Rattus norvegicus: one gene and its partners. The main gene of each other region encodes a partner of the protein of the gene in region 3 in a complex. Links are inferred from orthologs where the notes say so. Each region holds a gene or a part of one and is shown on either strand. Other genes may lie near its edges.

Region 1 (4,148 bases), on a different chromosome or scaffold from region 3:
CTTGTAACAACTTCTTCTGGGAGAACAGTTGAGCACAGTCTCAGTAGGCAGCGCCCTCCCTCTTTGCTCCTCATCCCACCTGTATCTCCCTATGTACCCATCCTTGCCCAGGCTCAACATGCACCAAAGGCGCAACAGTAGCAGTCCAGATCTGCCACTAGTTTTAATAAAGCTTCTCTCTCACGAACTGTCAATGTCTGTGTCCTCTGGGTCTGACTCACTCTCAACACCTTATCTTGGAAAGTTTACACTAGATCTTACTTAAGGAACACTCAAAACCCAGAATTGTAGGGACCCAAAAATTTTAGCTGAAATCCAAGTGTTACTGGCTCTTTAAGGACTTGTATCAATAATTGGTAATAATGCCAGCTCTTGGAAGGATGAGGCAGAAAGATTTTGAGTTCCAAGCCAGCCCATACTACATACCCAAATCTTGTCTCTAAAAACAGAAACAAGCCATCAAGAAACCTGGAGAAAGCTAGAAATGGTTTCTACCATTAGATACCATGGTTACTTAATCTCAACACCTGGGAGGCAAAGGCAAGAGGATTTCTGTGAGTTCAAGGCCAGTCAGGTCTGTATAGAGAATTCCAGGACAGCCAGAACTACATTAGAGAGACCCTGTCTCAAACAAGCAAACAAAAAAAACCTGAAGAATTTTTTCCCAAGCTTCATTGTTTATTGATGTACCATCAATGCTAGACATTATGTAATAATTAGGGGTTCATTAGTGGGGATACAGATTTGCTTTACTGTATTATGTGAGGTGAAAAGACCCACCCTAAAACTAGCCACATCTTCTAGCAGCAGTCCCTATAAAAGGATGCAGAATCCAATGTGGATCTTCAATCCCAGTACAGTGAGGGGGGAGGGGGAAAGTGAGGAGGGAAGATGAATCTTTGTGAGTTTGAAGCTAGTTTGGTCTACACAGAGAAATCCTGCCTCAAAAAGAAAAAAACAATACAAATAGGGATGAGAAGAGGGCCAGAGCAAATCAGCGAGGTTCTAAGGTCCTAATAAGATTTTACTTTTGGTCTTTAACTTGGGAAATAAAAGAATATAAACACTGCTTCCAATCTAAGCTGCTCTCTGCAAACCAAAACCCCAAACAAAGTAGGGCATAAACTTGTCCTGCAGGTAGTCAAGATACCTAGCGATTGTGACCACTGACCACGCCCCCAAGGGCGGAGCACTACACGTAACTTAAGGGATCTTTGCCAAAGTCCGTAGGGATACGCCTGCGACTCCTGCGCAAGCCAAAGGGCCCATTTTTCCACGCCCCTAGTTGCGCGCGCAATGACGCAAGCCCGTCGGCGCCATTTTAGCCGGTCACGCTGCACTGGTGGGCCTGGCGGCCATTTTGTTTTGGACACCAAGCGGGAGTTGGCGGCGCCGGCTGTGGTGGCACAGACGAAAGGCAGGAAAAGGCTGGCTTGACGAGCGGGAGGATCAGTCGGCTAAATACTCAACCCACAACAAGGGAGCCTCGCAACCTACCGTTTAAGCATCTAACCCAACCGCCCAGCTAGTTAACCCGAGCGGTCCGCCGTCAGCTCGGGTTCGGCCGGCCTCCGGCCCGCCCGCCGCAGCCGTGGTGGCAACCCCGGGAGGAGCGCTGGCGTCCATCTCCTTCGGTGAGTTTCTGTGGTGAAAGCAGAGGTGGAGCGCCGAGGGGGCGCGGGACATGGCGCGGACGGCAGGTGCGGATGGGGCTGAGGTGAGCAAAGGCCGGGGGAGGGGGCGGAGCCGGGAGGCGGAGGCTAAGCCGGAACCGCGGCCAGCAAGCGGGCCAGCAGGATTGTTGGTGCTGGTTTTGGTTGGCTTGTGTGGTGGTGGTGGTTGGTGGTGGTGGTTTGGTTTTGGCCCCAAATCTAGTCTCTTGCTTATGTAGATAAGCGCCCTCCATCAGAGCCCAAGCCTCGCCCCAGAATAGCGTTTGATGGGAATAACAACGGAAATAAGCGCCTGACCAAAGTCTTTTGAGAGGCTTTGAGGTGGAGGTTAAATGAGGAATACAGGAATTAGCGGCGGCTCTGGGTGTTCGTTTTTTTTCGGCACCGAAATTGAATCCAAAATTATGCTCTGGCTAGTCTAGCGCCCAGAGTTAATATCCCCAGCTTTAAAAATAATAATAATTTTAGTTTGAAACAGGGTCTCAGAAGTCACTTAGGCTCGCCTTTAGCTTGTGACCCTCTTGCCTCAGCCCTTCCCAGTATGTGCCCCTACAGTTAAATTTTGTGGAGTTGCTCTTGACAGAGCTCTCAGATTGAATACCCATTGAGAAAACCTTTTCTGTCATTCCCCTGCCATGTCTTTCTAGAGCTCCACTTGCATTTGGAGTTGAGAATCAGTTTTGAAACTTGGCATTTCTTTTGAGTGTGTGAGAGTCGGAGCCTCATAATGTGACAGTGTAACCCTTGATGTCCTCAGCCTGTTACACCACTCCTCTGTTGCTGCTGGGAATTGAACTTAAGGCTTCATCAGTGCTAGACAAGCACTCTATTGCTGAGCTGTATTCCCAGCTCCTCCATTTCTCTAGATTTGTGGCCCTCAACTTTCTGTAGACATGTAAGATGTACCTGGGTAGGTAGCACCCCTAGCCCCAGTTGCTGTACCCCATCGTCATGGCCAGATTGTAGTTTAATTGTCTGGATCCAGACATCAAAAATTTAGTTTGTTTTTTTTTTTTTTTAAACATTCCTCAGCTAAATCATATTCAGCCCAGGCTAAGAACTATTCCAGATTGAAAGCCAAACTCCTAGGCTTTGGCTACATCTGATTCTGCCATTTTGTTGACTTTGGCAGATGTTCTCCATCCTGGGGCTCTGAAATTTGATAAATGGAAATAACTGTCATCTAAACTTAAGCCCCCACCCCATGGGGTTTCTCTGTAGCTTGGCTTGTGTCCTTAAACTTGCTCTGTAGACCTGGCTAGCCTCGAATTCACAGAGAGCCACCTACCACTGCCTCAGGAGTGCTGGGGCTAAAAGTGGGCACCACCACCACATGGCAAACTTAAGTTCTCATGACACCATCTTCAGCAGTTAGTAGTATAGGCCTCTCATGGGTTTATGCCTCGATTCTTGTGAAAATGCAAACTTCATTATTTTGATTGACTCATTATGCATATTGTCCTTTGTAGATTCTCGGGATTTGAAGATGGCTGCACAGTCAGCGCCGAAAGTTGTGCTAAAAAGCACCACCAAGATGTCTCTAAATGAGCGGTGAGGCAGCCAACAGCAACTTCAGCTCCTTCCTAAGAAAACATTACTTAAATTGGCCCTGGGGTCCAATACAAAAAAGCCAGTTGTAAGCTAAATGACAGAAGGCTACAGACTTCTGTTCTTAATTGATTGCATCTAATGTGGTACAAACAAATTGGGCAGTTGTTTCAAAACCCCTTATCAGTAGATTTTTATATTAAGCTATCTGACATATTGACCTGGTGGGATATATTTTTTTTTAAAAGACTCCTCACACCTTCCCTTCGATTTTTCTTTTTTTCCTAACATTGATACAGGGGTGGTGCAGCACGATGGTATGGTATATCCTGGCTGCATTCGGCTTGCTATCTAGTCCAAGGCCAGCAGTGTTGTGTCTGGCCTGTAAGAGGCAGGTAGCAAGCCAAAACTATGTCCAAAGGCCCCTGAATGTCATTCTTGGGCCTTGTAAGAGGCACTTGCTTTGCTCCATTTCACTTTCTTCCCATTCTGCTTTTTAGTTTGTTGTGTTTTGAAATCTTTCAACAGCTGTGTGTTTACTTCCATTAAACTTATTCATTACAGGAATGTTAGAATGCCCTTTTAGGCTCGTAAGTGACTTAACTAATTTAACCTTCTCAGAGAAGTCCTGAGTCAGAAAGAATGGTTATTTGAGATTTAAGAAAAGTTAAAGTAGTTAAAGACAGTTTTTGTTTCTGAGAATTTTATTTGGTGTCTTTCACCATTTTATTATGTTGTTGCTAGAACAGCCAAGGCATTTAATGCCTGTGTTTGCTTCTAAAGCATGTGTTTCTCTACTCATCTTTTAAGATGTGTTATATTAATTACCTGTATTTGTGTGTTACTGAGTAACATGTTAGAATATAATGACATTCCATAATTCACGTGTCTCTGTTATTTCAGTGGACTTTGAAGGTGCTCTGATCC
Region 2 (3,939 bases), on a different chromosome or scaffold from region 3:
CATTTGCATGAGTTCCCTGTTTGCCCAGATTGGTGCAAACGCCCTTTGCTGGCTGTAAAGCCTGGCTCACTTGGGACAAACCTTACTATGCCTCCGTCCTTGGTGCTGCCACATTAGGTCCAGTAACTGGAAGAAAGCGGCTGAGAGCTTTCCAACTAGGTCACTAGAAGAGTTCCTGGAAACTCTTCAAAGCCAAAGGTGCCTCTCTGTCTGGAGCTACAGCTCTTACTAAGTTACCAGGGACGGAGGAATCCCCACTTTCTGATTTATACAAAACCTGCCAGCCTGCTGCTTACAGCTGTCAAATGGCTGAGGAATCAAAAGCTACCAAGCCCCAGCCCAGGGAGCTTATCCGTTGAGCAGGACACAGCGGGCTGGTTGGCAACAATGATACTTACTTAGTGTTACTTAGTATTACTTTCAAGTATGCTCAATAGGGAAAGCACCTGCTTATGTTTCTGCAGAAAGGCAACAGGTCATCACTTCTGACGTGTGTAGCACCTCAAAGGGAATACCACCTACTTAGGGGGGACAAATTCCGGGCTGAATAATGGAACTGAGACCATTCTGCTGCTCTAGTTAGTAATAATTATGGAAAGGTGCATAACCCTCAAACTCCACCATTTATTTAGCACCTGGACAGAATGTAAGCCTCCATCTCCCAATATAATTTTGGGTAAATCCGGCCTATTCTCTGCACAACTGTAATGGGCGTGGTCACGTACCGGACCCCCCCCCCCCCAGTAGAGGCCAGACTTAGCCGCTCTCAGGTCACCTTGACTACGAGGCTAAGGACCCCGTGAGAACGCTTCTCACTCTGCTCGCGGAGTCCTGCATGCCCACAGAGAGGCGCCCAGGGAGAAGCCTGGCGTGGCAAACAAAACAGAACAAAAGTAAAGCCGACCGTCGGAGGGTGTGCAGAAGCGTAGAAGAACAAAATGGGGAAATCAGATGGGGAGAGATGTGAGCTTCCTGTCGCGCTCTTGCTGCCGGCGACGGAAGGGGGCGTCAGAAGCTTAACTTCAAGTGGGCATTCTGCAAAGCCAGCCGTGGAGCGCGCGCCGCCCGAGGCCTCCTTCCGGCACCCCGCGCATGCGCCCTGGCGGCCGGGAAGGCGGGAGGCCGGGGCGAGACTGGAACCGGAAGTGAAGGCAGCTTCCCGCCTCCGTCCCTGTTGCTGCCGCCATACACGCTCGCAGTGCTTAGGTAAGCTCGGCCTTGTGTACTATCCGCCGCCATCTGCCCGCCCCGCGGCTCATTCCGCCGCGCGGGCCCCTGATACCCGGTGCCCGGCCGGCGGTGTGGCCGCCGGCGCGTAGGCGAACGCTCAGTTCCATTGTTTTCATCCCTTTCTGAGAGCAAATCTTGGTGGGGGAGCTGGGAGACAGGCGGGGGACGATCCAAAATGGTGGCCTCGGCCGCCATTGTGTTCCTCGTTTCCTGGATGTTCCAGTGGGTCCTTTGCCCACCCGAGGCCGCGGCGGCCGGAGGCGGCGCCAGGAGGAGGGCGGGGCCCCTCGCATCTCCCCTCCGGGCCTTTTCTTAGTCCGCCAGGGATGGGAAGGATCTTGCCTCCGGGCCCATTCAACCCTCTGACCCCCTGCTTACGCTCCCTTATTTGGAGCTCTCTGTAAATGGCTATCTCCGTGCTTGACCAATGGTGTCGGCGCAGTAGTCGGGAAGGTTTCCAGGAAGCTTTCCGGGAAACTTCCGAGGGCACTGCGAGGCGTTCGCTTTTAAGACCACTCTAAAGGCTGCATCGTCCTCAGCTGCGACCTTAATTCCTTAATGTGACTATTAAAATTAATTGTGGCGGCGCTGGGCCGATCCTTGCGGCCTCTCGCGTTGCTAAGCGAGCACCTTCATTGAACCAGACACCCAGCCTTTTCAAAAAAGAATTTTCTTTTTTTAATGGAGCCATTCGTACCCTTGCAGCCACCGTTTAATTACCATAGGCTCTCCCCACCCCCTTCCTTCCTGCTTCTGCTTCCCGGCACTGGGAATCACGGGTGTGCGCCGCCGGGATGGGCCCTCGGGTGTTCCTGAGCAAGTGAATAGCGGCAGCCACATGATGTTTGCAATTGGGAAGTGAGCGCTCTGCGCGCGGTGCTGACCCTTATCTATCACCCTTGACTGATGGCTGACGTTGGGGCTCAACACCGCGAGGTGACAGGGGGAAGTGCAGCCCCTCGTCTTCTCTTGTCCTTTGTCTCTCCACCCTCGTGTGAGTCGTTAGTCACGCTCATCCTCGCTCCCGCCTTGTCGAAGTGTGATCCAAAATCTGGTTGGCGGTCGAGGCCACTCTCTGTCTCTCCCGTCTGGTGTTCCGTTTTTATGTCTCGTGTGTGTGTCTCTGTGTGTGTGTGTCTGTCTGTCTCCGTTAACTTTTCTTTCGGGACAAAGGCTTCAGTTTAGAGAAAATAGGAAGGGTGTAGGGATGGATGAGAAGTGAGGAGTCAGATCATGACTGATTAGTTTTTCCTTTTTCTTTTTTTTTTTTTTTTTTGTCGTCCCTTCTCCCAGCTCTTCTGTCGGAAACTGGTGTCTTTTCCCTTGCTGTTCTCCAACCCCTCTCTTTCCCCTTGCTTCCTCTCACCTGCTCTGGGACACCTAACTCAGAGACCTCCCTTCTCCCCCCGCCGGCCGGATTATGGCAGAGAACGATGTGGACAATGAGCTCTTGGACTATGAAGACGATGAGGTGGAGACGGCCGCTGGGGCAGATGGGACCGAAGCTCCCGCCAAGAAAGACGTCAAGGGCTCCTATGTCTCCATCCACAGCTCCGGCTTTCGAGATTTCCTACTTAAGCCAGAGTTGCTCCGGGCCATTGTTGACTGTGGCTTTGAGCATCCATCAGAGGGTACATTTTATTGTTGGGTATAGAGACATTATTTAGCATTTCAGGGATGCAAGACAGATGTGGTTCGTGTCTTGGTTCATAAGATCTGAACTTAGTTAGGCCAAGCTCTGAGAATGCACTCAAAACGTTAGCTGCCGAAGAGGCTTTTGTTTTTGCCTGGTTTTTTGTTTTTTGTTTTTCTTTGGTTTACACCTTTTTGGCTATTTGGACTCTCAGGGCCTGGTTGGACCTTTAGTTCCCCTCTTTTGGCCCAGGCTGACAGTGGTCCCTGGAAACCGTAACGATCTGTTTAAAGATGTTAGCTTCTATGGCTTCTGGGTTAGGTACCAAGTCCTTCATTTTGTTCAAGGTGGCAGGATAACATGATCCCAAAGCCCAGCAACCTATGTAGGAGAAATAATCTGTGGCAGTCACTCAGATTCATTGATGGTTACGCTATAAGAAAAATAAAGATAGCCAAGAACATTGAAGGTGAACCATTGGTAGGTTCAAGAGGGGTCTTAGTAGCACTGGGGAGCCGGGGCACAGGTAGGAGGGTTTGATTTGGGTGTCTTGAGGAGATCAGAGAAAGGATGGGGTCAGGTAAAATGTGACACATTGGCTGGGAAGGAGGGGACTTGGCATGGTGTAAAATAAAAATCTCTCTCCTTTCCCCTCTAGTCCAGCATGAATGCATCCCCCAGGCCATTCTGGGGATGGATGTCCTGTGCCAGGCCAAGTCAGGCATGGGAAAAACAGCAGTGTTTGTCCTGGCCACACTGCAGCAGCTGGAGCCAGTTACTGGGCAGGTATGTTGGGGGCAGTGTTGGAGAGGGTGTTGAGGTTGAACCACCAGGAGGCTGTTTCTGGCTGTGTGCTCTCAGAGCTGGTCTCCTCCGGCAGTTCAGGGGGAATGTTCTGTAGCAGAGTGGCATAATGGTTTAAAGAAACTGCTGTCGCCGACAAGTTGCCAGATGCGGGACTGACTTTACTGTGTCTGTCTCCATTTGCTCCCTCAAAGGTGTCAGTGCTGGTGATGTGTCACACCAGGGAGCTGGCTTTCCAGATCAGCAAGGAATATGAGCGCTTCTCAAAGTAC
Region 3 (4,273 bases):
GCTGAGGAGCACCACATGCAGCAGTCCTACCAAGATGACGTAGGCCAGCCAGATGCCCCGACTGTTCATCACTCGAGTGTTGGGGTTTACTTCGCTGTGGGCCACCCCCACATTCATCCTACCACAGTGAGGGATCAGGCAGGAGTCCAACTCAGTTTCCTCATTACCCCTGATTGAGCTTGTTCCCCAGTTGTCTCCTGAAAAGCCAAAATCCCCTGAAGTCTTGGGAATGAAAGGATTTCCCTATCATGCAAAAAAAGGAAAAACTGAAGACTCTGTTAAAACTTGAGAAGACATGAAGCAGCTGGGCATGGTGGCTCATGATTGTAATCCCTGCTCTTGGGAGGTTGAGGCGTGAGGACTGTTTGAGCCGATCCTGGGCTAGAGTGAGATCATTTCTCCAAAACAAATGAAAAGGCACGAGGGTCTTCAAAATGGCTAAGCTGGAGAAGGTATTTGCTACCACCCTAAAGACCTGAGTTGGATCCCCAGGACCCACACCGTAGAAAGAGAACCAACTACTGCAAGCTGTCTGTCCCCTGACTCCCATACCTGCGGTTGTTAGTGTGTATACTCACTGACAACTAAGTGTCTTTTCTGCTGTTGTTTTTTTTTTTTTAAAGGAAAGGCCCTCACTATTATAGAAATACTTTTAAGTTTTAGTTAGATCTTTACATTTCAACTAAACATGAAGCAGTAAGCTTAGACTGTGACATTTACTTGAAGGACCAGGGGAATCGGGAGTATTTTAATTTACTTTCTTGAGGAAGTTAAGGTCACACCCAGAGTCCCACAAGAAAGCTATTCAGTTAATCAAGGGACCAATAAAGAAGGCACCGAGAGTAAAGCTACCTCTAGTCCCCATCTTTTTTCCTGAGGCTTGTCCATCCTGTCTCTCACCCGCTCTGCATTGTCAGCAGCCAAACAACGCCATCCTTTCGCTCAATATGGGGCGCTGCAAGAACTTACCCAATTTTTTAGCTTTTAAACTTCCGCTAGCTCTGATGCCCGGGTCTTTTGTTTGTTTTGTTTGTTTGCTTTTAAAAACCCGCTCTTGCTTGTCCCCAAATCCCCCAAATCAAGTACAGAGTCTGCCCATGCTCCTCCCAGAGTCCCAGTTTCACACGTCACTTTAAGGCTTTCCTCACGGCACCTCTCGAATTTAAGGTTGTCGATTCCCCGCCCTTCCCGATACTCCCACCGATTTCTCTCCGTAACCTTTTCAAGTCTTACGCAGCCCATACCTGCCAGCTTCAGGAGCCCGTCCGGCTTGGGGCACAGCTCTTACACCTGTGGTCTCCAGGAAGTGCCCGACTTTCGCCCTGTCTGCGCTCTCCCTATTGGTGGAACAGAATCCGCTCTGTCCCCAATCATTGGCTGGTTACGCGATGGGGACGTACAATTGGTCGCCTTTTCTATCGTTAGGCCATGCAAGCCCCGCCCTTCCCGGGGTCCACCTTTTCAGAGAGCTGTGGAAAGTGGCCAAGAGGCGTGAGAGCGACGCCGCCACTGACTAATGGGAAGAGCCGTTGGTGTGAGGTGGGAGCAAAAATGACAGCGATTGGTTGGATGAGCCTAAGCTCCTGAAGAGGGGGCAGCTGTGGGGGTCTGGTGGAGTAAGGCGCAGCAAGATGGCGACCGAGACGGTGGAGCTCCACAAGCTGAAGGTACCGTTACGCGGGGAAGGCTGAGGTGGGGTTTTCTGGAACCTAAATTCTACACGGGGCCCTGCGTCGCCTAATTCCACGTGTTTTCCTGTCAGGCACTTGCTTACACTTCTTTCCTGGCTCTCGCTGTAGTTTTGTGCCTCCTTTCTTAGGCCTACCTTAAATTCCGTTTCTCCTCAGTATTTTATTGCTATCGTTACCTGGTGTTTACCTGTTGTTGCCCGTTCTTCTCATTGTTTTATTATCTGTCACCCTTCCACACCCGGCTGTGAAGCACCTTCTGCCTTTTATATTCCGTTCTCATTTGATCAGCATTACGTCAGTGGTCTTTCTCCCGTGTCCCATGCTGACCCACAATTATGTTTTTGTTTTTGTTTTTTTTTTTTTCTCGGATTGGTGTAGTCACTTCTCTTGTCCGAAAGCTGAGATTTCTCAGTTAACATATAGTGGCATTTTTGCATGTTTACCTGAATGTGTCCCAAACATAACCCAGAAAGTGCTTTTAAAAAGGTGGGGTTAAGATCTTGGACTCGAATTTTGAAACCAAGGAGAGGAGGAGCCTTAAGATAGGTTCCTCGGTGGAAACTTGGGGCAGAGGCATCTCTAAGAGGTTGTAAAATGGCGAACACATTTTCCCTAAAAGTTTTTCGAGTTTTCCCAGGAGGTTCTCAGCATCCTGACCTCTCCTGACTATCCTACCACTAGAGAGAGAACGTATAGGGTAGATAGCTGTAACGTTGGAGGTATATGAAGTATATTTGAAAACCTTAGGATTTTGCTTGCCCTGTTTATTTTTGGGAAGAATCCCAGCTCTCTTGGTGTCACACACCCCCTATCCCCTTTTTGGATCTAATTTTGTTATTTACGTGTGTCTGTGAGTGTGTGGTGCATGCTCTTGGAGGTTAGAAGAGGGTGTTGGATCCCCTGCATCTGGAGTTACAGGCAGTTCCTCATGTGGTTCCTGGGAATAGAATTTGGGTCCCAAAGAGCAGTAAATGCCCTTCACCATTGAGCCATCTCTCCAGGACACCTTGGTGTCATTTTTTGGTGACATTCTAAACCACAGGACCTATTGAGCTGTACATTTTGGTAACCCGAGGTTCTTTTCTTGTATGTAGACTTGCCCTTCGATTATTATTCTGTAAGGACAATAATTCCTTTTTAAGAAGAATTAAGAAACTATATTCATTATTGTTTTGTTTCCCAAGTAACTTTGGTTGTTTTGGTCATCTTATTCTGGGAATCATGTACAAATCAAACTTACTTAATAAAAGCTGAGAACTTTTCTTTCTTTCTTTATTGAGACAGGATCTCACTCTGTAGCTCTAACTGGCCTGGAACTCAGAGATCCTACCTCTCTGCTTCCCAAGTGTCGGGATTCGAGGCATGCACTGCCATGCCCAGTGTTTTGTTTGTTTGTTTTATTTTTTAATAGTTGCTTTAAATTATTGGACTGTGATGATTTTTTAAAAAAAAGATTTATTTATTTTATGTGTATGGGTATTTTGTATGTATGCATGCATGTATGTATGTATGTGTACCTGCAGAATTATGGATAGTTTTTAGTCTCCATGTATGTGCTGGAAATTGAACCTGGGTCCTCTGAAAAAACAGTCTGTGGTCTTAACTGTTGAGCCATCTCTCCATCCATGAACTCTCTCTCTCTCTCTTTTTTTTCCCTTAAAGTTAATAATTGGGTCTGGGGAAATGGCTTAGTGGTTAAGAGCACGCTTTCTTTCAGACGACCTGAGTTTGGTTTCCAGCACCAAAGTCAAGCGACTCACAACCACTTGAGCACACCAGCTTCAGGGGATCTGATTTTCTTTTCAGGTGTCTTTAATCTTTTTTTTTTTTTTTAAATCTTTTAGGATTTATCTATTTTATGTATGTGAGTACACTGTAGCTGTCTTTAGACACACCAGAAGAGGGCATCGGATCTCACTCATTACAGATGACTGTGAGCCACCATGTGGTTGCTGGGAATTGAACTCAGGACCTCTGGAAGAGCAGTCAGTGCTCTTAACCACTGAGCCATCGCTCCAGCTCCCTCAGGTGTCTTTAGGCACCTGCTTCTGTGACACACACACACACACACACTCTCTCTCTCTCTCTCTCTCTCTCTCTCTCTCTTTTTTAATCTTGAAAAAAAAAAACCTTAAAAATTGCTGCATTTTTGTTTTTCTTTAAGATCTGTAAATGAAGGTGTGTAGAAAAAGCTCCTGTAATTTAGTCTGTTAAGGTGACATTATTGTTTGAAAGCAAATGTGTTTCTTAACTGTTGGACTCTCAAATTTCATTATTGGATTTTTATGTTATTCTAGTTACTGTTAACTTGATGTAGCTATAATGGAATTATCATAAGTTTTCTAATGATTACTTGAACAAATAAGGAAAATTGAGCAACTACCTCCATTTTTATCTGTGTAAGTTATATAGTTCTGTACTGTTATACATATTATAAAACATACACAGAAAATTAATATTTAAGTGAAAGAGATTAAAATTTAGTGGGCTATTTGGTATTCTCTTGTTTGTTCCCCTTTTGAAACCCTGGAGTAAGTCACTAGTTGTCCCATGACTTTCCTTTATGGATACTGTATTTGTTT
Region 4 (4,292 bases), on a different chromosome or scaffold from region 3:
ACAGGGTTTTTCTGGGTAGCCCTAGCTATCCTGAAACTTGAACTGTTGACCAGGCTGAACTCAAAACTCAGAGAGGGGGCTGGAGAGATGGCTCAGCGGTTAAGAGCACCCGACTGGGGCTGGAGAGATGGCTCAGAGGTTAAGAGCACTGACTGCTCTTCCAGAGGTCCTGAGTTCAAATCCCAGCAACCACATGGTGGCTCACAACCATCTGTAATGGGATCCGATGCCCTCTTCTGGTGTGTCTGAAGACAGCTACAGTGTACTCATATACATAAAATAAATAATTCTAAAAAAAAAAAAAAAATACTGTTAAAAGAGCACCCGACTGCTCTTCCAGAGGTCATGAGTTCAATTCCCAGCAACCACATGGTGGCTCACAACCATCTGTAAAAGAGATCCGATGCCCTCTTCTAGTGTATCTGAAGACAGCTACAGTGTACTTATATATAATAAATAAATAAATCTTAAAAAAAAAAAAAAAACTCAGAGAGGGTTTTTCAAGGCTAGTAGGGCAGCCCCGAAGTTCTTCGAGCACAGAGCCACTTACAGTCTGGACAGCAGCCATTGAACGCCATCCTGCAGATGCCGCAGTTCTCATCATTGGCTACCCAGAGCCAAGTGGCCACACCATTCCAACACTTAATTTTCACCTTCATGACAGCAGAGTCTGTGACCTGAGGGAAGAGGATTACGTACCTATTAGTATGTAACACTACAGCACTTGAGCATTAAAGTCGTGTACTCCAAAATTAAAAAAAAAAAAAAAAAAGCACGTATCTGTCTGTAAAGAAGGCAAGGAGAGCCTCTGGAAGCAATAGCTCGCTTCCGAGTTTGTTTTGCCACGTTCAAGAATGTCTATAAAAATCTGACCCAGGTCTTTAATCCGGGGGCAAAAGCAGATCTCACTGAGTTCAGCCAAACAGGAAACAAAAACAAACAAAACCTCTGCACCCACGAAAAACATATTGGTTTTCCCTAACCAGGGCCTCGCTTTTAAAAGGAATTGGAAGAGTGACAGTCACTAATCCTCGAAGTTACAGCTGGATTGCAGACGCCAGCTCCTTAGGAGACAGCCTTCGAACAAACAAAACCCAAATCGGACCCACGGACCCGCCCGGACCCATTGGAATCGCACCTGAGGGGACTCCGGAGAAGGGGAGCGCTCACTGCGTGGCACCCAGGCGACGCTGAGGGTCTTCCGGCCTCCGGGGGAGGCGCAAGCAGGCCCCGCCCCCTCCTCGCCCTCGCACCTTCACCACCTAATCACGAGGCGCCCCGCCCTTCCGTTGCCTCCGCGCGGGAAGGTATAAAAACGACCGTGCCGCGTCTGGCTCCTCAGAAGGAGCGCCAGCCGCCTCAGAGAACTGTACGTAAGCGCTCTTCGGATCCGCGCGCGCGGAGACCAATCAGTAGGCGCCTCAGACCCGGGACGCCGGAACGCAGAGGGAGGCGCAGGAAGTGACGCTACAGCGTGCTGACGCGCGGGCTCGATACGAGGCCCGAATCCGCGCCCGCCATGGCCGACAAAATGGACATGTCTTTGGACGACATCATTAAGCTGAACCGGAGCCAGCGAGGAGGCCGCGGCGGGGGCCGGGGTCGCGGCAGGGCCGGCTCCCAGGGCGGCCGCGGCGGCGCAGTGCAGGCCGCCGCGCGGGTGAATCGAGGCGGCGGGCCTATGAGGAACCGGCCCGCCATCGCCCGCGGCGCCGCAGGCGGCGGCGGCAGGAACCGACCGGCACCATACAGCAGAGTGAGTACGGGGACGTGCGGCACGGACCGGGGCGGGAGGGCGCTCGGCACGACCGAACCGGGAGAGCGCCCTGCGAGGCTCGCGGGAACTGCAGCGAAGGGGTGGGCGGGGGCGAGGCCGCGCGGCGAGGCCGGGCCTGAGGCCGGGATCTTCCGGGAGGCTTTGTCCCGTCCTGGTCCAGCCTCATGGCGGCGGGGGCTGCTGTGAGAAAAGTTTGGCGGCCGCAGTGGAGCGGTGAGTCTGGGGTACTCTCCCGGCTCCTCGACCTTGGCCGCGGGCAGACGTGAGAGGGTCGCTGGGGTGTTTAAGGCTCCTGGGTGAAGGATCAGGAGTCTCTGACCTTACGGTTTTTCTTCAGCCGAAACAACTTCCCGACAAGTGGCAGCACGACCTATTCGACAGCGGCTTCGGGGGTGGAGCCGGCGTGGAGACGGGTGGGAAGCTGCTTGTGTCAAACCTGGATTTCGGAGTGTCAGACGCTGATATTCAGGTAGGAGTCTGGAGCTGTCCGCTATACTCATCCCACACAGACGTGTGGTCCAGAATCCCTTAAGGATTGGAATCTGCCCTCCCCCAGGCTGCCCAAGGGCCAGCCGCTGTCACCCTGAGAGGCTTGGCCTCAGAAACAGTTGTGTCTCCTGTGTTTGATTGAACACGACCGATAAGCCAGGCTGCAGATAAACTGTGTACCCCTAAAAGTGAGTCTTTTCTGCTGTACAAACCATGAGCATCAGCCCTCTGCCAGAACTTCCAGTTTCTAACCCACACAAACTGGCCATAACTGAGGTTCCAATATGACAGAAGAAGCTGCTTGCTTCTCAGATCTTGTGCCCATTATAGTGAACTGATTAGATAAGGAAGGTTTTTCCCCAGATACCCGACAGCATTCTGTGAATGATGGCTGTGGGCTTTCCAGCCTGAATCCCTGTATCTTAACTGGTGATCTTTCCTGGGTCTCATCAGGGCTTGTGGTCCTCCATACCTTTGAAATATTTTTTTCTCCCCCAACCCCTTGGATTTTTTTTTTTTTAAACTGGACTTCAAAGGCATTTAGAGTTTTCTGGTTACAAGGCAACTTTTTACGAGATGGTTTTCCACATAGCTGGAGCTGGGTCAGGTGTACTGGGCCTTTCCAGGTACCATTTCCCAGAGCTAAGCCATTTGGCCTTGCCATGGGAGGAAAAAACAAGGCTAGTGAGTACTCAGTGTCTCAACACTTTTTTTAAGGTGGTTTCTGGCATCCACTGGAAACCACTTTTGGTGAACTCCACTTCCCACTATGTGTCTACAGCTGAAGTGCCTCACACTGTGGGTTCCCTCTCCACCTCCCAGGCTGCCTAAAGTCAGGGCAGGTTCCATGGTGCATTTGACTTCAGACTTTGCAGCAGGCTTGAGTAGGAGGAGAGGGAAAGGTGAGCTAGAATCTGCCTTTGGGGTAGGGGCTGGATCACAGCTCCCAAATCAGTGGGCCCTTTGAGTTGTCTGCTCTATGGAAAGTTTTAGTTTTGGTCTCTGCTGTTTGGTGAAACAGCCATTAAGCAAGTTGTAGGTACCCTTGGTGAAAGAGGTTTCTTAATCTTTTGTCTTGTGACAGGACTCTGTGTCTTCCCTCACGGTCATGGTGTAGTTACACAGTCCCAAAATGGACAGGAACCCCAGTGTTTGTGAAAGTTGCCATTTCTCTTGATATAGAACATCCTTTTTTTCAGCTCTTAATTGCACTGCCTTGCCCCCTTCCTGAGTGGCTGTCAGTAAAGTACTTCAAGCACGAGTGCTCATATAAGTGTTGCCAAGCTACTAGAAGGAAAATGGCTTCATTGCTCTGCTAATTTTTACTCTTTCCACTTCCCAGGAACTGTTTGCCGAGTTTGGAACGTTGAAAAAAGCTGCTGTGCACTATGATCGCTCTGGACGAAGTTTAGGGACAGCAGATGTACACTTTGAACGGAAAGCAGATGCCCTGAAGGCTATGAAACAGTACAATGGTGTCCCTTTGGATGGTGAGTCTGGGGCTGGGCCCTGGATGCCTGTGGGGCTTGTGGAGTTTGGGGCTGGCACCTCTCCCTGTAGGAATATGGGCTGCCCCTGTGGCTGAGGACACTTTGCATTTGCCCCTTTGTCTCTCTCTTCCATTCTGCCACCTCTCATGCTGCCCCACACATCTGGACCAACCTCTTGTGAACCCCCATCCAGCAAGCTACATCCCTCCCCTCCTTGATCTCCTTCCGGAAGATTCACTTCTGTGAAGCCTTCTCAGAACCGCCATAGTACAACCTGAGTGCGGGGCTGTAGTCGTAAAGACAAAGGTACCTGTTCTTCTTCCGTCAGGTCACCCACACCTGTCTGCCCATGAGCACCCTGAACACCTGACCAAACAGCCCTCCTAGCCTGAGCTGAGAAGGAGTGAGGAGGTGTTGGTGGGGTTACTATTGCACTTCATTTCCCACCAGGCTCTCCAGGCCATTTATCTTGTTGGGGGCATTGGAGACACACAGAGGCCCTTTCCAGAGCTTGCATGGAGACCAGGGTGTGGTGC
Region 5 (3,500 bases), on a different chromosome or scaffold from region 3:
CCTTCCCTCCTTCTACACAGTCCCTGTGGAGTCTGGAACCCTGTGGTTCCCTCCTCTTCTGACATCTGCCAGGACCTACCCAGAGGCCACTAACCATGCTCAGGCGCTAGGCTGTTGTCCTATCCCACCTCAGCTGTGATCACTGGGCTGAGGAAGATGGTGTGATCCTTCAGTTGTCAGTAGGCTGAGTGATGTAAGAAAATTTGTGAACTGGGGATATAGTTTAGGGGTAGAACACTTGCCTAGCATACCCGAGACCTTAGATTTATTCCCCAGTACCACAAAAGATAAGCTAAACAAAATTAATTTCCCAAAGCTGGAAGCATAATAAAGAAGGGCTTATTTAGCTCATGAGTGTGTGGGTTTGCTTGTTACGATTTTTATTAAATTTATTTAATGTATGTGTGTGCATTCAGGTGTAAGACACACACGTGCACGCACACACGTGCACCAGTTATCAGAGGACAGCTTGAGGGAGTCACTTCTTTCCTTCAACCTTGTGGGTTCCTGGGATCAAACTCCAGTCATGAGGAGAGGACACCTTTACCTACTGAGCAGTCCTACTGGCTTTGTGTGTGTGTGTGTGTGTGTGTGTGTGTGTGTGTGTGTGTGTGTGTGTGTGTGTGTGTGTACGTACGTGCGCATGTGTGTGTGAGTGTTTGTTTGTTGAGACAGAGTCTCATGTAACTCTAGCTGGCCTAGAACTCACAGAGATCCATCTACCTCTGGGATGGAAGGCACGCACTGCCACACTGTTTTAATTTTGTCTTTGAGATCAGCTCAGGCTGGCCTTGAACTCTGATCTTTTTTTCTTAGCCTCCAGAGCACTGGGATTGCACACACGAGCCACCATGTGTAGCCTAGTTTAGCTTTACTATTTGAAGGCTAGAAGTCCCAGGGGCCTCATGGCAGGTGACAGTACAGCGACGTGGAGACGGTGGCACAGGTGAAAAGGAAGCCGAGGGAGTTAGGAGCCAAGGCTGTTCTATAACAGTGCTCTGGACACTAAGCAGAGTCTCGCAAGAAGACTTAATCCTTTCAGAAGGCAATTCCCTCTCATCCAGAACCCAACTACCTCTCACTAGAGCTGACTTCTCCAGGTTCAACCTGGCAGCAGCACAGGGAGCCAACTTCTTGTATAAATCTCTGGGTAATGCACAGGAGCCAAATCAGAAGCACTAGTCCAAAGATCTGGGAGCTAGGGAGAGGGCCCGGTGGGTCGGAGCTCTTACTGCATAATCCTGATGACCTGAACTTGGTTCCCAGAAGCCACGTCAGCGTGTGGAATGGAGTGGAGTGTGTCTAATCCCGGCACCCCTGGGAAGAAGGGGTCAAAGGCTGTCTGTCAGCAGAGGGAAACTTCATATGTGAGAGCTTATTCTCTGATTGTGCATGCACATCCGCTGCCCAGCAGTTCCAGTTGAACTCAGTCTTGTACTTTTGCAGCTACTCACTGGGAGACATTTCTGTCAGAGCCTCCCTTTGACCGATGTGACGTGAGAAGCTGGGACCGTTTGCCACTAGTCCACTGTGGGAGTTAGAGCAGGAGGATAAGGAGTTCAAGGTTGCCCTTCATTATGTATTGAATCTGAGGCTACCTTGGGCTACATGGGACTCCCTTAACAGCAACAACAGATTCTTTTTTTTTTTTTTTTTTTTTAAAGAAAGATAAGAAGGAAGGAAGAAAAGGAGTTGGGGAGAGACAGAGAGAGAGAGACAGAGAGACGAGAGGAGCTGGAGAGATGGCTCAGTGGTTAGGAGCTGCTCATCCAGAGGACCTGAGGTCAATGTCCAGCACCCACATGGCAGCTCACAACTGTAACTTCAGTCCCAGGGATCCAATGCCCTGTTCTGGCCCCTGAAGGTGCAGCATACATGTCGGTGCCAAGATACATGGAGGCAAACCACCAAACAAGGCATACACACACATGCACACAATTTTTTTTTTTTAATTATGACACTTCTCCAGGTAGCAGGTTTAGTCCATTGACAAACACCATCAGGTAGAACAGGGTCTTTGGAGGAACCAGAGTCGCTGTACCTTACCCTGAGGACCTGGCAGCCCGGCTCCCATTCTAAGACCGTCAGTGTCAGCACTCAGCAGCACTTCACTTAGAGGAGGCATTTGTGTTGACTCTGGGACATGTGGAGACCACCACGGAAGGCTGGGTAATCACGATTTTTTTTGCCTCTCCCTTCTCAGCTAAGCTTCAGGCTGCTGTGGTACTGAACCCTGGCTACTCCTCCATCCCACCTGTTTTCCGACTCTGTCTAAACTGGAAAGGGGAGAAAACCAACAGCAACGATGACAACATTCGGGTAAGGCCCACATGGGTGGCAGGAGAACAGGGAGCCCTAGAGAGGTGGGCAGTGTGTCAGTCTCAGGACAGGGATGTACCAGGATCTACAGAACATGCTCGCCGCTTAATTTCCTGAGGCCCACAGTGTTTCCCGTTTAGCACTGTTAACTAGCAAAATGTCTGTGCACCAACCACTCCAGCACCTGATGGGTGGCCACACAGTGAGGAGCAGACAGACACACAGACAGCTGGATCCGGTGGTCTGACTGCTGGAGAGACCTTAGGCCATCCCCAAGCCCAGCATGTTTGTTAGGTAAGGTTGAATAGAGAAGCAGGGTTGTGGTACAGAGACAGATCAAGAAGGTGGGTTTAGCCAACCTCAGCAGGAGCGGACTATAGGGAACCGTCTCCTGGCTGTAAATCTCAGAAAGAGAAAGCTGTGGTGGACATTTTCTGTATACACCATCAACATCTACACACAGATCAGAAGAAAAGGCTCGGGCATTCCTCCTAGCCTCATGTCGGGCAGGGGTAGGCTTTGCTGTACTCTTGTGGGTCTGAGGCGAGAGTCCTAGATAGGCTAGTTCATGCCAACAACACATATCCACTCAGGGTTCCTACACTCCCTTCAGCAAGGTGCGGTGGCAGCACTGGGGAGGCAGAACAGACCAGCTTGGTCTGCACAGTAAGTTCCAGGCCAGCCAAGGCTACACAGTGAGACCTTACCTCTAAAATAAAACCAAAACTTGTCTTGAAGTCGAGTCACCTTGGCCTCTGATGGTAAGCAGACGCAGAAGCACCATAGCAGACTCAGATTCAGTGAGGGCGCTGTAGCTGCTGCCCAGGGCCATGCCTCGTGGTGGGTCTTCGTAGCCTGTGGCCCAGAGCACGTCTTCCTCTATATACCCGTGTTCCTTGCTGGTATCTGGGGTGGGACAGTGGGTGGTAATCAGGACCCCATTGTCTTGAGGAAACAGGATCTCTGGGTGAGGCTGTGGCACAGCTCTGGGTACAGCTCCTGTGCAGGCAGCAGCCGTAGCTCATGTGCCATCAGGTCAGCCATGAGGTGAAGGTGTGACCATGTGCTCAGCCATACCGAGGATCAGTTGCTGAGGTGCTGGCTTCCCACCCCCACAGGCTATGGAGAGTGAAGTCAATGTGTGCTATCGGGAGCTCTGCGGCCCTCGGCCCAGTCACCAG
Region 6 (2,367 bases), on a different chromosome or scaffold from region 3:
AGATAAGGTATTTGAATATATATGTTAGCCTCTACGTGTGTGTATGTGTGTGTGTTTAGAGATAAACTTATATAAGTTGTTTTCTTCTTAACACAGCTGGAATTGAGACGGAAACAATTTCACGTTCTTCTTAGTACCATCCATGAACTTCAACAGACATTGGAGAGTAAGTAAAACCATTCAAAATTGCAGCTTCAGAAGACTTTAAATGACTGGGGAGTGCTTTGGTGAGAGAGTCTGCCTCCAGAATCCAGTGCTATATCTGGATGGCATTAGAAAACACTCTCTGTTCAACTTTCTGTATACAAACAGAAGAGCAGTGATTCTGTGGTAATCTGTGCTTTGCATGCATGTCTACTAATAAGAAAACTTCAAGAGTGATGGGGAGTGTTTCCTGACTAATGATTCAGGACACGTGCAAACTACTGTAAGTTGTTGGTATATTAGGCTGCCTACATGCTCAGCAAATGGGGGGCCCACCGAGAAATTGAAGACTTGATCTTTCTTGTGACTGTAACCAAGTAGAACTTCCTGTGTTTTCTGATCGTTTTTGTTTTTTTTTAATTAAGGCTACGACTTAGATTTTAGTTCTTTAGTGTTTAATGAAATCTATCACACAAATTATATATTCTTAGTAATATGTAAAAATAACCAAATGTATAACATTTGTGTGTGTGCACATGTGTGTACGGGGCTGCACACATAACCATGTTGTGCATGTGGAGGCTACTTGTTGTGCCACTAGAAGTCAGTTCTCTTCTTCCACCATGTGGTTCCCAGGATCGAGCTTAAGTCATTAGGCCGAGCATGATGTGCCCTTGCCCTGACCTGTTTTTAAAACCAAAGGAGGCTAGAGAGGTGGCTCAGCCGCTAAGAGCACTGACTTCCAGAGGTCCTGAGTTCCATTCCTAGCAACCACATGGTGGCTCACAACCATCTGCAATGGGCTGCTCTCTTCTGAAGTGTCTAAAGACACCTACAGTGTACTCACATATAAATAAAATAAATACATGTTTTAAAATTAAAAAAAAAAAACAAACAATGATGTGGGCTGTTTGCAGCCATAACTTGTTATTTTGCTGCCTTGATGAAAATGTATTTGCCAATGCAAAATAAAACTTTTCATGCATTACCAGGCACAAAATGTAGGTGACATGAAGTAAGGTTTTGTGTCTTCCTAACTACAGATGACGACAAGCTGTCAGAGGTGGAAGAAGCTCAAGAAAGCGCCATGGAGGCAGACCCTAAGCCATAGATGGTGACGTCGCTGTCCGTCCGCCCGCAAGGACAGGCAATAGCTGCATGGGCTTCCTGGGTTCGATTTCAACTTCGGCAGTGAAATACTTTGCTTTCAAATATTAATTCATGCCTCATTTGTATTTCTTCACACAAGGAAATGTATCCATGTATATGTATTTTTAAATGCATTTTTATCCTTAAACCTAGAATTCAGCATCGGAAAATATTTAATAAAATATCTCCAGCAGGATCTTTGTGCTCATTCAAAACTCTAGGTAGCTTGCCTTTGCAAATTAGAAAATGAGTCGATTTCTAGAAGGTATTAGTAGCTCCTTAGAAAACGTGGTCTAAGAATAGGCTTTAGAGGGGCTATGATCAGTACTTAATGGTGTGTGTGTTTATTGTAGGGGAGTTTCCACACTGTTAAGAATAGCTGTTGTTAGGGGCTGGAGAGATGGCTCAGCGGTTAAGAGCGCTGACTGCTCTTCCAGAGATCCTGAGTTCATCCCAGCAACCACATGGTGGCTCACAACCATCTGTGATGGGATCCAATGCCCTCTTCTGGTGTGTCTGAAGACAGCTACAGTGTACTCATATATACATTAAATCAGTAAGTCTTTTAAAAAAATTGTATTGTTGTATGAGATCAGTTCATCTGCATTGCTTTTCTGCATTTCTCTCTGTTAGTATTTAAGGAACATGGTTGGTAAATGCTTCTCTTCTGTGTTTTGTTCTTGGGGAATCTTTTTTAAAATACCTACTTTGGGGCATGCGTGCAGAGTGCATGTGTTTACGTGTGAGGGACTGCACCTGCTGTAGCATGGGGTTAGATTCAGATGACTCCGGCTGCTGCTGGTCCACCCTGTGTGTCTGAGGCAGGGTCCTCTTTGTGGCTGGGCTGTGTACTAGGAACTCAGCAGCAGCAGCAGCAGGTGCAGGGAAAGCATGCGCTTCGCAGCTTATACTTCCTCGTGGTTCTCTTGGAAAGCCTTTGGAACTGCTTGGAAGACTGAAGGATCTCAGCTCCTAGAGACTCACACTGCTTAAGCTCAGCGTGTCTTTGTTCCAAAAGCTTCATGGATTTGTCAGTCACTGTTTCTATGAGGTCGTCCACCTGTAATAGACAGA
Region 7 (3,346 bases), on a different chromosome or scaffold from region 3:
AAAGAAACATACGAAAAGTTCTACCTCTAAAGAATGGACAGAAAGAGGCAAGGCTGGTAAAGGAGTTCACTCGCCAAGCAAACCTGGTGACCTGACCCAGCCCCCACACTGGCTGTCAAGTTACGGTGGTCACACCAGCTCCATTACTGACACAGCCACGGCCGGATGAAAATCCTCAGACAGCTGTGCCTGAGCCCCGTGGGTCGGGAGTGGAGGGAGTTAAGAAGCCTCCGCTCCCTAAGGGCCCCACACTGCTGAATGGCTGGCAATGCTCACCCAAGATCAATAACCAGCCCTCAAGACGTATTCTGCATACTGCAGATGGTTCAACTAAGCCTGTGTTGGTCAGTTTGACTTAAAAACAGTCTGCTAAGGGCATTTCGGTGAACCTCTGTCTAGATCGGCCATCCTGTGAGGTGCTTTCTTGACTGAGCTCCTTGAGGTGGGAAGACCCTTGGAGCGTGGGTCTCAGGGGTCCCTGGACTGAAAGGAGAAGGGCAGCTGTGCACAAACACTTATTCATGGCTCTCTGCTCAACTGTCCAGCCCGAAGTGAGCTGTAACTAAGTGTGAGCCAAAGAAGCCCCTCCCCCGTGAAGCTGCTGTCATAGGGCATTTATCACAGCTACGGAGAAAGAAAACAAGACAAAGGCTATCATAACTCGGTGATAATCACACAAAATTCACCAGAAAGACAAATATTCCATGTGTGCTCTCATTTGGGGGTCCTAATTTTACAGATACATAAAATCATGTATTTACAAACAACTTCAAAGAAGCAGCAAAACCCAGGAACACAGAAACCCGACAGGTGTCAGAAAGGAGGCAGTGGGCCTTGGGAGGAGCACCCATAAATGACGTCCTGCTCTAACCCCCGCTCAGAAAGCAGGAACAGATGCTCTGTAAATTCAAAGACAGTCTCATCTACATCGGGAGTTCCAGGCCAGTCAGGGCTACAAAGTAAGACCCTTCTCAAAAAAAACAAAACAAAACAAACAAAAATCCCTACCTTTTTTTTAAAATGTATTTTTAGATAACAGAAGAAATAATGCAAATGCAGTGTTTTCCTACAGCGCTTCTCTTCAGACCTGGCACTCTGTTCCTGCCCTTCCGCCCCACCATTACACAAAGCTGACAATCCTATCAACAAATATCTCAACAAAACAAACCCATCTGATACCACTAGTGACGTGGTATCACACAGCTAAAACGTGCCCAGAGAAGGCCTGAGGCCAGGCATCATCTCGAAGGAGTCAAATTAAGATACCTGTCTCTACTTCAGCTATGTCAATGAAATGGTCCTCCGAAGCCGACGCCAGCATTTTCCCATCGTGGCTAAAACTGAGGGTCCTCACAGGCCAATCTAGTCTATGACAGGATGGAGAGAAACATCAGTTAGTTACCCCCAAAGGGGGAGGAAAGGTTGATTCCCCACAAGAAAAGCCTGTCAGCTACATACCTGGAAAAGCACCGCACGCACACTAGCTCGTCAACGTCCCAGAGGCTGACCAAGGCATCCGCACTTCCTGTGGCAAAGTATTTCCCCATGGGGTCAAACTTGATACAGATGCAGTTAGAAGGGTGGGCATTGATGGACTGCACAGGCTTCAGTTCTGGGTAGCTGAGAGACAAGACAGCCATCAGTGTGCAGAAGAGGGCCAGGGCACTAAGACACCAAGGGGAAAACACTAACAAAAACATCCCTACAGGAAGAAACAAAAGGTTTGCCCAAGTACAAGAGCACAGGACCGAGACCACCAACACCTAGATGAACCAGTGAGGCTACTGGACCTCACAGAAAATTAGACCATCTCTAGGCTTCCTGAGAGCATCACTCTGGAGGAAAAGAAAGTAAGAGTGTCACACCTAAGGCATAGAAGAAGCAAATCCAGGACTGTGATACCTAGCTATACTATCCAATACACAAACAGTAAAGCCCAGTACAGTATCCAGGTCTATGAATATATAACTCCTTCAATATCCCTGCCAATGTGATTTTTGTCTTGTTTCGTTTAACTTGGGGTTCTGAAGTGGAAACTTAAGGGTTCTTTGGAAAGTCAGTTGTGTCAGATGGTGTTTTGCTGGGGCAAACACATGACGGAGTTTTTTCCTGAAGCAGACACAGATGAATCCATCTGTGCTGAGGCGGACTCATGAAGGAACATTTTGCTGAAGTAGACATGAGAAAGGATGCGCTGTATTGGTTGAGGTCCATAGAGAAGCACACCAAAAAACTTCTGGTGGTATGCTGCCGCTTCCAAGGCCTCTGGATGTCAGTTGATAGAGACTCACACAGAGTTTTGCTAAGACAGACTCATGTGCTGAGGCAACACGGGATGAGAAAAGACCCATGGAGCACACTCGATATTTGAAAGGAGCAGGAATAGGGAAGAGAGGGGCTTGCAGAGCTAGCTGTACAATTCTCATGTCTTTGCCAACCTCCTCTTCGTTGAAAGAGAACTCCTGGCATCCCTACTTGTCCTGGTTCCTCCTGCTGACTCATGCCAATTCAGGTGGCCTGGCTGTGTCTGCTATGCCGTGCCACCATTGCTGATTCATGCTCCTGTCCTGACTGTACCGAACTGGACCACTGATGTATTCATGAAGTATTTCCTAGTGGGTCGAGCTGCCACTGCTGACCCGTGAACTGAACTGCTGACCTCCCGACAACTCAGATGGGATTTGCTCCAAAGAATAACTTCTAAAAAGGTCCGCTTCCCCCATATCTTTTCTTTTCCACTACCTCTGGTGGGTAGTGGGCTAGAAGGGAGGGTTAAAAGCATTTAAGAACCATCATTAAAAAGTAGGCTTTGAAAAGTTAAAAGCTACAGGACTCACAGCAAACTTCATCCTCTCAACCAAAGAAACTACGGCCATCTGTCTCGCATTCCTCCCTGGCACTGCAATAGCACGGCCTCGGGGCCCTGAATCTTTATTTCACATTTTCTTTTACTCATACAACAAATACTTACTGAGATCCTACTATTAAGACCTACCTAGGTCTTAATAATTGCGTTAGCAATTCAATGGAAAACATAAACACAGTCCTCTCCACCATGAAATTGCTAGTGCAATGAGAAATAGAGATAAAGTATACATTATCATACAGAATTAAGAAATGCTTCCTGGGGCTGGAGAGATGGCTCAGCGGTTAAGAGCACTTGGCTGGTTTTCTTTCCAGAGGACCCAGGTTCAATTCCCAGCAACCACATGGCAGCTCCCAACCGTCTATAATTCTAGTTCCAGAGGATTCAACACCCTCAAACAGACATACATGCAGGCAAAACACCAAAGAACATACATAAACAAGAAAGAGAGAAAAAGAGAAAGAGAGAAAGAGAGAAAGA

The links.
Region 1: Sarnp (region 3) and Chtop share a complex: the UniProt entries of both Homo sapiens proteins name them as parts of the transcription/export (TREX) complex. The link is inferred for Rattus norvegicus from reciprocal best matches to the Homo sapiens genes SARNP and CHTOP.
Region 2: Sarnp (region 3) and Ddx39b share a complex: the UniProt entries of both Homo sapiens proteins name them as parts of the transcription/export (TREX) complex. The link is inferred for Rattus norvegicus from reciprocal best matches to the Homo sapiens genes SARNP and DDX39B.
Region 4: Sarnp (region 3) and Alyref share a complex: the UniProt entries of both Homo sapiens proteins name them as parts of the transcription/export (TREX) complex. The link is inferred for Rattus norvegicus from reciprocal best matches to the Homo sapiens genes SARNP and ALYREF.
Region 5: Sarnp (region 3) and Thoc5 share a complex: the UniProt entries of both Homo sapiens proteins name them as parts of the transcription/export (TREX) complex. The link is inferred for Rattus norvegicus from reciprocal best matches to the Homo sapiens genes SARNP and THOC5.
Region 6: Sarnp (region 3) and Thoc7 share a complex: the UniProt entries of both Homo sapiens proteins name them as parts of the transcription/export (TREX) complex. The link is inferred for Rattus norvegicus from reciprocal best matches to the Homo sapiens genes SARNP and THOC7.
Region 7: Sarnp (region 3) and Thoc3 share a complex: the UniProt entries of both Homo sapiens proteins name them as parts of the transcription/export (TREX) complex. The link is inferred for Rattus norvegicus from reciprocal best matches to the Homo sapiens genes SARNP and THOC3.

The regions. Positions count from the first base shown.
Region 1 is NC_086020.1:178,287,549-178,291,696, reverse strand, and holds the start of Chtop (chromatin target of PRMT1 protein), read left to right. Parts: upstream 1-1,348; 5' UTR 1,349-1,634; exon of another isoform or gene 1,635-1,717; intron 1,718-3,142; 5' UTR 3,143-3,159; coding exon 3,160-3,224; intron 3,225-4,148. Other genes in the region: S100a1 (protein S100-A1), read left to right, coding at 1-32. UniProt on the Homo sapiens protein: Plays an important role in the ligand-dependent activation of estrogen receptor target genes. May play a role in the silencing of fetal globin genes.
Region 2 is NC_086038.1:3,586,852-3,590,790, reverse strand, and holds the start of Ddx39b (spliceosome RNA helicase Ddx39b), read left to right. Parts: upstream 1-1,139; 5' UTR 1,140-1,206; exon of another isoform or gene 1,207-2,166; intron 2,167-2,523; 5' UTR 2,524-2,650; coding exon 2,651-2,861; intron 2,862-3,521; coding exon 3,522-3,649; intron 3,650-3,861; coding exon 3,862-3,939. UniProt on the Homo sapiens protein: Involved in nuclear export of spliced and unspliced mRNA. Component of the TREX complex which is thought to couple mRNA transcription, processing and nuclear export, and specifically associates with spliced mRNA and not with unspliced pre-mRNA.
Region 3 is NC_086025.1:1,834,124-1,838,396, forward strand, and holds the start of Sarnp (SAP domain-containing ribonucleoprotein), read left to right. Parts: upstream 1-1,473; 5' UTR 1,474-1,631; coding exon 1,632-1,667; intron 1,668-4,273. Other genes in the region: Ormdl2 (ORM1-like protein 2), read right to left, coding at 1-117. UniProt on the Homo sapiens protein: Binds both single-stranded and double-stranded DNA with higher affinity for the single-stranded form. Specifically binds to scaffold/matrix attachment region DNA. Also binds single-stranded RNA. Enhances RNA unwinding activity of DDX39A.
Region 4 is NC_086028.1:106,370,596-106,374,887, reverse strand, and holds the start of Alyref (THO complex subunit 4), read left to right. Parts: upstream 1-1,492; 5' UTR 1,493-1,519; coding exon 1,520-1,756; intron 1,757-2,114; coding exon 2,115-2,246; intron 2,247-3,608; coding exon 3,609-3,756; intron 3,757-3,949; exon of another isoform or gene 3,950-4,062; intron 4,063-4,292. Other genes in the region: Anapc11 (anaphase-promoting complex subunit 11), read right to left, coding at 551-659. UniProt on the Homo sapiens protein: Functions as an mRNA export adapter; component of the transcription/export (TREX) complex which is thought to couple mRNA transcription, processing and nuclear export, and specifically associates with spliced mRNA and not with unspliced pre-mRNA.
Region 5 is NC_086032.1:84,009,897-84,013,396, forward strand, and holds part of Thoc5 (THO complex subunit 5 homolog), read left to right. Parts: intron 1-2,203; coding exon 2,204-2,319; intron 2,320-3,437; coding exon 3,438-3,500. UniProt on the Homo sapiens protein: Component of the THO subcomplex of the TREX complex which is thought to couple mRNA transcription, processing and nuclear export, and which specifically associates with spliced mRNA and not with unspliced pre-mRNA.
Region 6 is NC_086033.1:13,705,826-13,708,192, forward strand, and holds the end of Thoc7 (THO complex subunit 7 homolog), read left to right. Parts: coding exon 1-7; intron 8-96; coding exon 97-166; intron 167-1,187; coding exon 1,188-1,255; 3' UTR 1,256-1,867; downstream 1,868-2,367. Other genes in the region: C15h3orf49 (putative uncharacterized protein C3orf49 homolog), read right to left, coding at 2,153-2,353. UniProt on the Homo sapiens protein: Component of the THO subcomplex of the TREX complex which is thought to couple mRNA transcription, processing and nuclear export, and which specifically associates with spliced mRNA and not with unspliced pre-mRNA.
Region 7 is NC_086035.1:10,151,281-10,154,626, reverse strand, and holds part of Thoc3 (THO complex subunit 3), read right to left. Parts: intron 1,621-3,346; coding exon 1,459-1,620; intron 1,368-1,458; coding exon 1,267-1,367; intron 1-1,266. UniProt on the Homo sapiens protein: Component of the THO subcomplex of the TREX complex which is thought to couple mRNA transcription, processing and nuclear export, and which specifically associates with spliced mRNA and not with unspliced pre-mRNA.